Linked DNA regions of Danio rerio. Each later gene encodes a partner of the first gene's protein in a complex. Links are inferred from orthologs where the notes say so. Each region holds a gene or a part of one and is shown on either strand. Other genes may lie near its edges.

Region 1 (4,379 bases):
GCCTCGGCTGGGTCAGTTGGCGTTTCTGAGTGGAATTTGCATGTTCTCCCCGTGTTCGCATGGATTTCCTCTGGGTGCAAAGTCCAAAGACATAGGTGAATTGGTAAGCTAAATTGACTGTAGTGTGTGTGTGTGTGTGAATGAGTGTATTTGGGTGTTTCCCAGTTATGGGTTGCAGCTGGAAGGGCATCCGCTGCTTAAAACATGTGCTGGATAAGTTGACAGTTCATTCTGCTGTGGTGACGCCAGATTAATAAAGGGACTAAGATGAAAAAAAAAGAATAATTAACTATATAATTAATTATAACTAAAACATATATCTATATTCAATGAATTAATTTAGAATAATTAGAATAAAATGTAAAATTACTTAAATAATCAGAGATTTTATTATTCATAATTTCTGAAATTGTAATAACTAAACTGTAATAACTAAATAGAAGCTAAATATGTTCAAATAATATTTTATACCGATTTATAATGTTTCCTGCAGCTGAAAGGGCATCCACTGCGTTAAAACGTGCTGGATAAGTTGGCGGTTAATTCCGCTGTGGCGACCCCGGATTAATAAAGGGACTAAGCTTCTAGTTCACTCAAAAATGAAAATTACCCCATAATTTACTCACCCTTAATCCTCCTTTTTTCTGCCAGACGAACACTCAGAGTAGTTTTCAATTTTATCCTGGCTCTTCCATGCTGTATAATAGTGTTGGATAGTGGCTTTTATTTTGAAGCTTCCAAAAAGGTTTCAATCCATCACCAAACTAACCCATATGCTGTCAAGGGGTTAATGCATGTCTCATGAAGTGGACCGATGTGTGTCTGTAATGAAAACATCAGTCATTTTACAGTGAGTTTTGAGATCTTAAAGAGAGGGCTGGATTGTAGCAGAACAGAAGGTTGGTTAGATAAACATCAGCTAGATTATTTAAAGCTTTATAGGTTAGAAGCAATGTTTTATAATCAATACGGAACTGAACAGGCAGTGTAGGGAGAATAAAATTGGGATGATATTGTCATATATTGTAGACCTGTTAAGAACTCTGGCAGCTGCATTTTGCACTAACTGCATATTATTAGTAGAGGATGCTCGGCAACCAGCGAACAGAGCATTACAGTAATCTAATCTTGAGGTCATAAAAGCATGAACTAGCTTTTCTGCATCTAAGTTGGATAGCATACTTCGTAACTTTGCGATATTTCCTTAAAAATACTGTTTTCGCCTGAAAGAAGAGAGTCATATACATAGAGGATGGCTTGAGGGTAAATGAATTGGGTGAACTATTTATTTACTAGCAAATTTACAAAAATTAGCTGTACTATCCCTTTAAGAGTGCTTTTTTTTGATTCAGTGATTCAGTGAGTCGCTGACTCCAGAACAGCTTTGTCGTATATTCGACTCGTTCAGTCCGGATTTATGAACCAGCTCAATTGACTCACCAAAAAGACTCGGTTCAAAAGAACGACTCCGACATCACCAGCAGGGCTGAGCTTGAGCTCTCAATCAAATCCCACAGACGAGGAGTAGGAAGCTCTGCGGAGACATGTAAGATGGCAGAGTTGCAGATGTTACTAGAGGAAGAAATCCCAGCCGGTAAACGAGCTCTCGTGGAGAGTTACCAGAACCTGACGAGAGTCGCGGATTACTGTGAGAATAATTATGTTCAGGTAAGCGCGCGCGCGCGTTTTCTCTGTTACGCGCTGATCTCCAGCACTGCTGTTGGGAGTCGGACAGGAAATATGGTTGTAAAACGGGAAAGCAGGGATGAGCCGCTTTTTGGGAGATTCTTTGAAGACATCAAAGGCGATATTTCGATGTAGAGCTTGACTTGTTTAAGCGGTTTGACGATCAGATTTGTGATCGTGTTCGGGATTTGTTTCGTTTACATTGAGGGTGTGTCTGGATACTCTTTAACTTAGACATTTGAAGTTTTGCTCATATCTGTGTCAAACTTCAGAAAGGAGGATGTGAGATTTTGGCCTCGATAGGAGAAGATTAGATATGAAAGGACTTCAACTGATTGTGTTTGCTTATACTTGATAATAAAACTGAACTAGTGTGTCAAATGGGAACACGAGAGGTCGTATAAAGCTGAGCTTCAGTCATGTTTTATTTCACCTTTGTTTGTTTCTTTTATCAAATAATATCAGGTCGGCTTCCTGCAATGCTGTTTGTTACGTTGTTTTTCTAATAGATTATTAAACTCTTAAGTGGTCAACTTAAAACTTAATACTTCAAGAGCGTATTTGGTAATCACCGATTTTAAATACTTTTTACAATGTTATTCAATGTATTTATTTGTTCAAAGGCATTCTTATATTTATTTAGTGATATTATGTAATAACATAGTAATAAACATTTCTTAGAAGTTTGATTGCGGTCGTATTATTAGTTTATTGATAGGGTTTTGAATAATATTTTGCTTTCCACATCAATTCAAACGACAAAATACATACAAAGTGTAATAAATACAAGTAATCTGTGTTTAACATTTAAAATGTACTTACTTTTTAAAGGAAATAATGTTGAAATGTGGGTGAACTAATTCAGTTGTCATTCAGCATCCTGTAAAAAGGACTCCCAACTTTTGACCTTACCTTACTGTATAATTATTATAAAATTGAATTAAGTGATCATACTAAATATTATGTTTTGAAACATCTATCTATCTATCTATCTATCTATCTATCTATCTATCTATCTATCTATCTATCTATCTATCTATCTATCTATCTATCTAATAATTCTAATGACAAAAAAACAAGCTATATTACACTTTATTGTTCTGATCCTTGATAACTTTTTTTGTGTGGCCAAACTTAGATATAAATAGTTGATTTTACATAGTATTCATAATTAATTTTATTTATCTTATAATTGGTCATTAAAATATCTATTAATACAATTTTTAAAAATTTTAAAACATTCTATCTATCTATCTATCTATCTATCTATCTATCTATCTATCTATCTATCTATCTATCTATCTATCTATCTATCTATCTATCTATCTATCTATCTATCTATCCAATCATCTATCTATCTGTCTGTCTGTCTGTCTGTCTGTCTGTCTGTCTGTCTGTCTGTCTGTCTGTCTGTCTGTCTATCTATTTATCTATCTATCTAGACATCTAGACATCTAGACATGAATGTTACACAAAAGGACATTTCAGTTAGTTTAATCTTCAAATCGCTTTAATATAAATGACTTTTTATCATTATTCCACAATTGTAATGACAAAAGAAACAAGAAATATTATACTTTATTGTTCTGATTCTTGAGAATTGACTTGGTCAGACGTATATAGTTGATTTGATATATTTTACTTCCTGACATACTTCATTTTATTTAGCTTATAATTGGTCATTAAATATAAATATTTATTTTATAAATGAGTAAAAACATACACACTGAAAACATATATTTATTTTATTTTATTTAATATTTAAAAAAATATATATAATATTTATATTTTCTTTTATTGAATTATTATTTAAAGTACTAATGAAAGTATTTTTATGTGTTTCTGATTTAGCAAATTTTGGCTTATTGACCATTTATCTCAGGGGCGTAGAATTAGCACGGGTGGAGGGGACGTGTCTCCTAATTGAAATGTCCTCATCTATAATTTAATCTGTCAGCTCTCCTTATCTCTCAGAGTAGCATGTCGAATTTTGGTTGAAACTACTGTTTGAAAAACTAAAGCTTGTGCTCCACCAACTTTAATTCATACTGATGTATGAGACACGTTTCGTTTGTGCTATGGCTAAAATAAATAAACGTCTTAATTAAACTCTATAAAGCATTTGTAACAGTAAGTTTAATTCCCTTAATTAAACTTAATGAATTGTATTGTATATAGAGTGGAATAAAATAAATAAAATAGCAATGTTAACGTAAAGGGATTTTGCAGCAAATAAAAAAATCTGAATTCATAATTCATAGGTCCCCACCAATGTCAAGAGTAAATTTACACTCCTGATTTATCCATATGACTGCAATATTTCTAGACTCATTTTGCAGTTACAATAGAAAATATTGACTTTATTGATCATCTGTTTAGTGTACACTTGATCTAAATCTGATAAGAAACCTTTTGAGAAAAAAAATCTGTCCTCTACGATTATTTGTGTCAAACAGCATAATGTTTAACGCGTCATTTTGACACAAAACACCTGTTGGAAATGCCTAAGAGGAGATTTACCCCACCATCGAGATGTTTATCAAGCTTTAATTGTGTTGTAATTCCTTAAGAAGAAGTTGCTCGACAGGTAGCGCAACATTTGATAGGAAAGCGGCCTGTCAGGTTTGATGTAAAATGGCAAGCTTTTCCCTCCGCATGACCGAGCACGCTTCGGGTCGCACCGATACTACAGC
Region 2 (3,831 bases), on another chromosome or scaffold:
CTTTTTGTTTTGTTTTTGTTTTGTTTATCTATGAATCATACCAAAAAATTGTTAAATGATTTAATTACAGAAAATAGAGGTGTCTTTTCTTTTTACCCCTAACTTAAATTTTGTCGGAAATGTTTTCCAGGGAGGATGGCAAGGAGGCTCTTAAGTTTTACACTGATCCGTCTTACTTCTTTGACCTTTGGAAAGAGAAAATGCTTCAAGATACCAAGGACATTATAAAAGAGAAACGCAAACACAAGGTGAGACGTGCAAGTACATCACCTTAAAATATCCTCCAGAGGCCAGCTTCTTTAACGTGTCTGTGTGTTGTCGTATTTTTGTGTTTAACGCAAGCAGAAGAAGAAAGATGACAATGTTAACCGAAGGAACTTGAACCCTCGGAAGATCAAAACCCGTAAAGATGAATGGGAACGCCAGAAAATGGGGGCGGAGTTTGTTGTCCCCAAAACCGATGCCTTGGGGTAATTATAATAAATGCCTACTGTATTCCTGCATAGGTGCATGATTTTCTGCCAGATGCTGAATTTAAAGGTCCAGTGAAATTAAAATAACGTTTTCTAGATGTTCAAGGATATCTATAAATTAGTGTGCTCCAAAATTTGCGTTTAGAAGATACAAAACTGAGATTTCTTGTTTTTATTGCTATGTATTTCATGTCATCCCTTTGCTGATAGGACTTCTATTTTTCATACACATTTGTAAGTTTGTATAATATCTGGAAAAAATGCAATAGAAATATTGGAAATATATAGAAGATATAAAACTGATATAAAAATGTAAAGCTAAATCAGGGCTTGAAATTGCAACCATTTTGGTCGCATATGCGCCTGAAATTTAATCTATGCGACCTCATATTAAATTTGGGAGCATTTGTGCGACTGCAGATAATGGTTGTAGTGCGACCTGTTTTTATTATTATTTTTTTTTAAACGTGCTGAATCGCTCCTCCCTGCCTCTATATAGGTTCATATTAGCTAACAATCACTCTGCGGGGAATGCAACTGACTGAAGAGTGAAAAGTACACTGAATTTCGATGTGCTGCATTTACTTTGTACTCAGCGCAAATGTCTGCTTAATGTAAAATGTAACATAATATACAATTTGCAGCGGTGCTCATTCATTTTTGGTGGGTGCTCCTAATTTTTTTCTGGTGCTCCTAAATATTTAAAGTTGGGAGCACCAGTGCTACCAAGTAAAAAAGTTAATTTCGAGCCCTGTAAATGATTCATTGTTTTGTCACCTCATACTTCAGGGGTCTGTTCTTCGTACCTCGCTTAAATGATCTAAGATGATTTGGCAGATCCTGGATCTTTTAAGGACTGATCTATCGATCCTTGAAATCTTGATCAGCAATGCAGCGATTGGCTGACGGCACAGCAGCGTAATGACATCATCTGATTAATATTCAATTATCCATGTGAGCAAAATTACATCAAATTAGCAGTAAACGGTTTGTTAAATATGACACGCAATAACTCCACATTTGTTGTGAGCTGCAGGCTTTACACTTTCATGTGTCAAGTGTATTCATCATGTATTTCAATGCAAATCAGTGTATTTAGTTCCACATTTAGAAAAGATTTTCTTTATTCTAGTAGCCGGTTTTTTAATCGTTGTAAAGAATAACTGGTTGTTTACAAAAGCATTTTGATTTTGGTAAAGGCATCTGGAACTTTTGTGAAGCATCAAATCACCGGCATATTAACTGTCAAAACATGTTTATGACTGCATAAATGTATTATTGATTTTAAAAAGTCACATATTGTGCATTTTTATTATACACAATTTGTACTAAAGCGATCTAAAAAGTTCATATCAATAAGTTTTCTCTTTGCACCACCAGGTGGCAGTCTTTGTACTTTCATTTCAAGGGTGCAGATTAATATATATATATATATATATATATAGCTTAAAAATATTTACCATTTCCCCAAGTGTATATAACTACTACTGTAAGAAAATATCAGAATTCTGAACATACTTTCTGTATTATCTTTGCTTGAACTGAGCCGATCTAATCCTGTTTATATGAATTGAACCTGCTCCCGATCAGGTTTGACCTAGCAGAATTGTTGCTATGACAACAACTCTCGGATCAGCTTTGAAGAACGAAACGATCCTGGATCATGTCAAATCGTCACTAACCAAATCCAGCTAACTGAGTAATCCACGTACGAAGAATGAACCACAGGTTCTCATCAAATCTTGACCAATCAAATGCTCTCTAGTGTCTGTGTGTTGGATGGCAGAGGGGTGTAGTGAAGAGGGTTGGTGAGTCGCAGAAGAAAGTGAAAGTGAATAGCAGACAGGGAAGAAGGGCGGTTGAGGAGGGGGATCAGAAAAACTAGCTGCCGGATCACATTTCAGAGATTCCAGATCCGGTGTGTTCAGGCACAAATTAAGCCCTTGTGATGAAAACTAAACTCTATTGGCTGTTTTCTTTTAAGTGGACCAACAGTGCTTATAATTGGTGGGTGCAACTAAATTTTGGCTGATGCCCCTAAATTTTTAAAGTTAGGAGATCCGGTGCTACCAAGCAAAAAGGTTAATTTCGAGCCCTGTATATTAAATAGAAATTGAAGGTATCTCACCGGATAAGTGGATCAGTAGATTCAGATATGCCTTGTTGCCTTCCTGCCTTTTATGTTCTGCATTTTCAGCTTTCAGATTCATCAAGTGTTTTACAATATCATTGATGTCTATATACATTTAACATTATTGTTAATGTCTCTCTAACAGCAACTCTTCAGAAGCATTGAACGGCAGTATTGGCTCTGGTGATGATGGCTACATGCACACTGATAGTTATTTGGAACAAAGCACTAACTCCTACAGCTACGATCCCGGCTCTCCTCTCCCACCTCCAGCGCAAGAGGATTTCCCACCTCCACCACCTGCAGACACGCAGTGAGTGTCTTAAAATAGCTCACGCTTTCCCTGTTGTTGAGTAGGGCTGTGCAATATGACGATATAACTCGTATGGATAAAATAAGTCAATTGTTTCATATTTTGCTCTATCATTTATTTCCAGGTGTTACAAAATATATGTTTATGTTAATAATTTTTCATAATTTAGAAGAGCGCAATATTACACGCCATTATGGGGATGCAGACAGAAACATGATTAACAGCATCATGAGAAAGTTGCTTTCTTGAAAGTAAAATGTTTACATTATGCATTTTATTTAGCATTTATTATTATTTAATGTAATATTGGACCTGTAATCATTCGTTTTTGGAAAGTGTTTCATATTTTATTAATGTTTATTTTAGTCAAATGTTGACCCTAAAGTTCTAAATAAAGTGAGAACATATACACAGTAAGATACATGTGCACAGTTGAAGTCAGAGTTATTAGCCCCCTTTAAATATTTCTTAAATGATGTTTAACAGAGCAAGGAATTTTTCACAGTATGTCTGATAATATTTTTTCTTCTGGAGAAAGTCTTATTTGTTTTATTTCAGCTTAAATAAAAGAAGTTTTTATTTTTCAAAAAAACATTTTAAGGTCAAAATTATTAGCCCCTTTAAGCTATTTTTTATCGATAGTCAAACCTTCAATATACAATAACTTGCCTAATTCCCCTAACCTGCCTAGTTAAACTAATTAACCTAGTTAAGACTTTAAATGTCCCTTTAAGCTCTATATTATTGTAATATTATTTACTGTCATCATGGCAAAGATTAAATAAATCAGTTATTAGAGACTAATTATTAAAACTATTATGTTCAGAAATCTTTCCGTTAAACAGAAATTGGGGGGAAAAATAAACACGAGGGCTAATAATTCAGGGGGACTAATGATTCTGACTTCAACTGTA

Evidence for each region.
Region 2: abi1a (region 1) and wasf2 share a complex: the UniProt entries of both Homo sapiens proteins name them as parts of the WAVE2 complex. The link is inferred for Danio rerio from reciprocal best matches to the Homo sapiens genes ABI1 and WASF2.

The regions. Positions count from the first base shown.
Region 1 is NC_133199.1:6,125,289-6,129,667, forward strand, and holds the start of abi1a (abl interactor 1a), read left to right. Parts: upstream 1-1,446; 5' UTR 1,447-1,551; coding exon 1,552-1,668; intron 1,669-4,379. UniProt on the Homo sapiens protein: May act in negative regulation of cell growth and transformation by interacting with nonreceptor tyrosine kinases ABL1 and/or ABL2. May play a role in regulation of EGF-induced Erk pathway activation. Involved in cytoskeletal reorganization and EGFR signaling.
Region 2 is NC_133194.1:46,367,031-46,370,861, forward strand, and holds part of wasf2 (actin-binding protein WASF2), read left to right. Parts: intron 1-130; coding exon 131-248; intron 249-345; coding exon 346-470; intron 471-2,749; coding exon 2,750-2,917; intron 2,918-3,831. UniProt on the Homo sapiens protein: Downstream effector molecule involved in the transmission of signals from tyrosine kinase receptors and small GTPases to the actin cytoskeleton. Promotes formation of actin filaments. Part of the WAVE complex that regulates lamellipodia formation.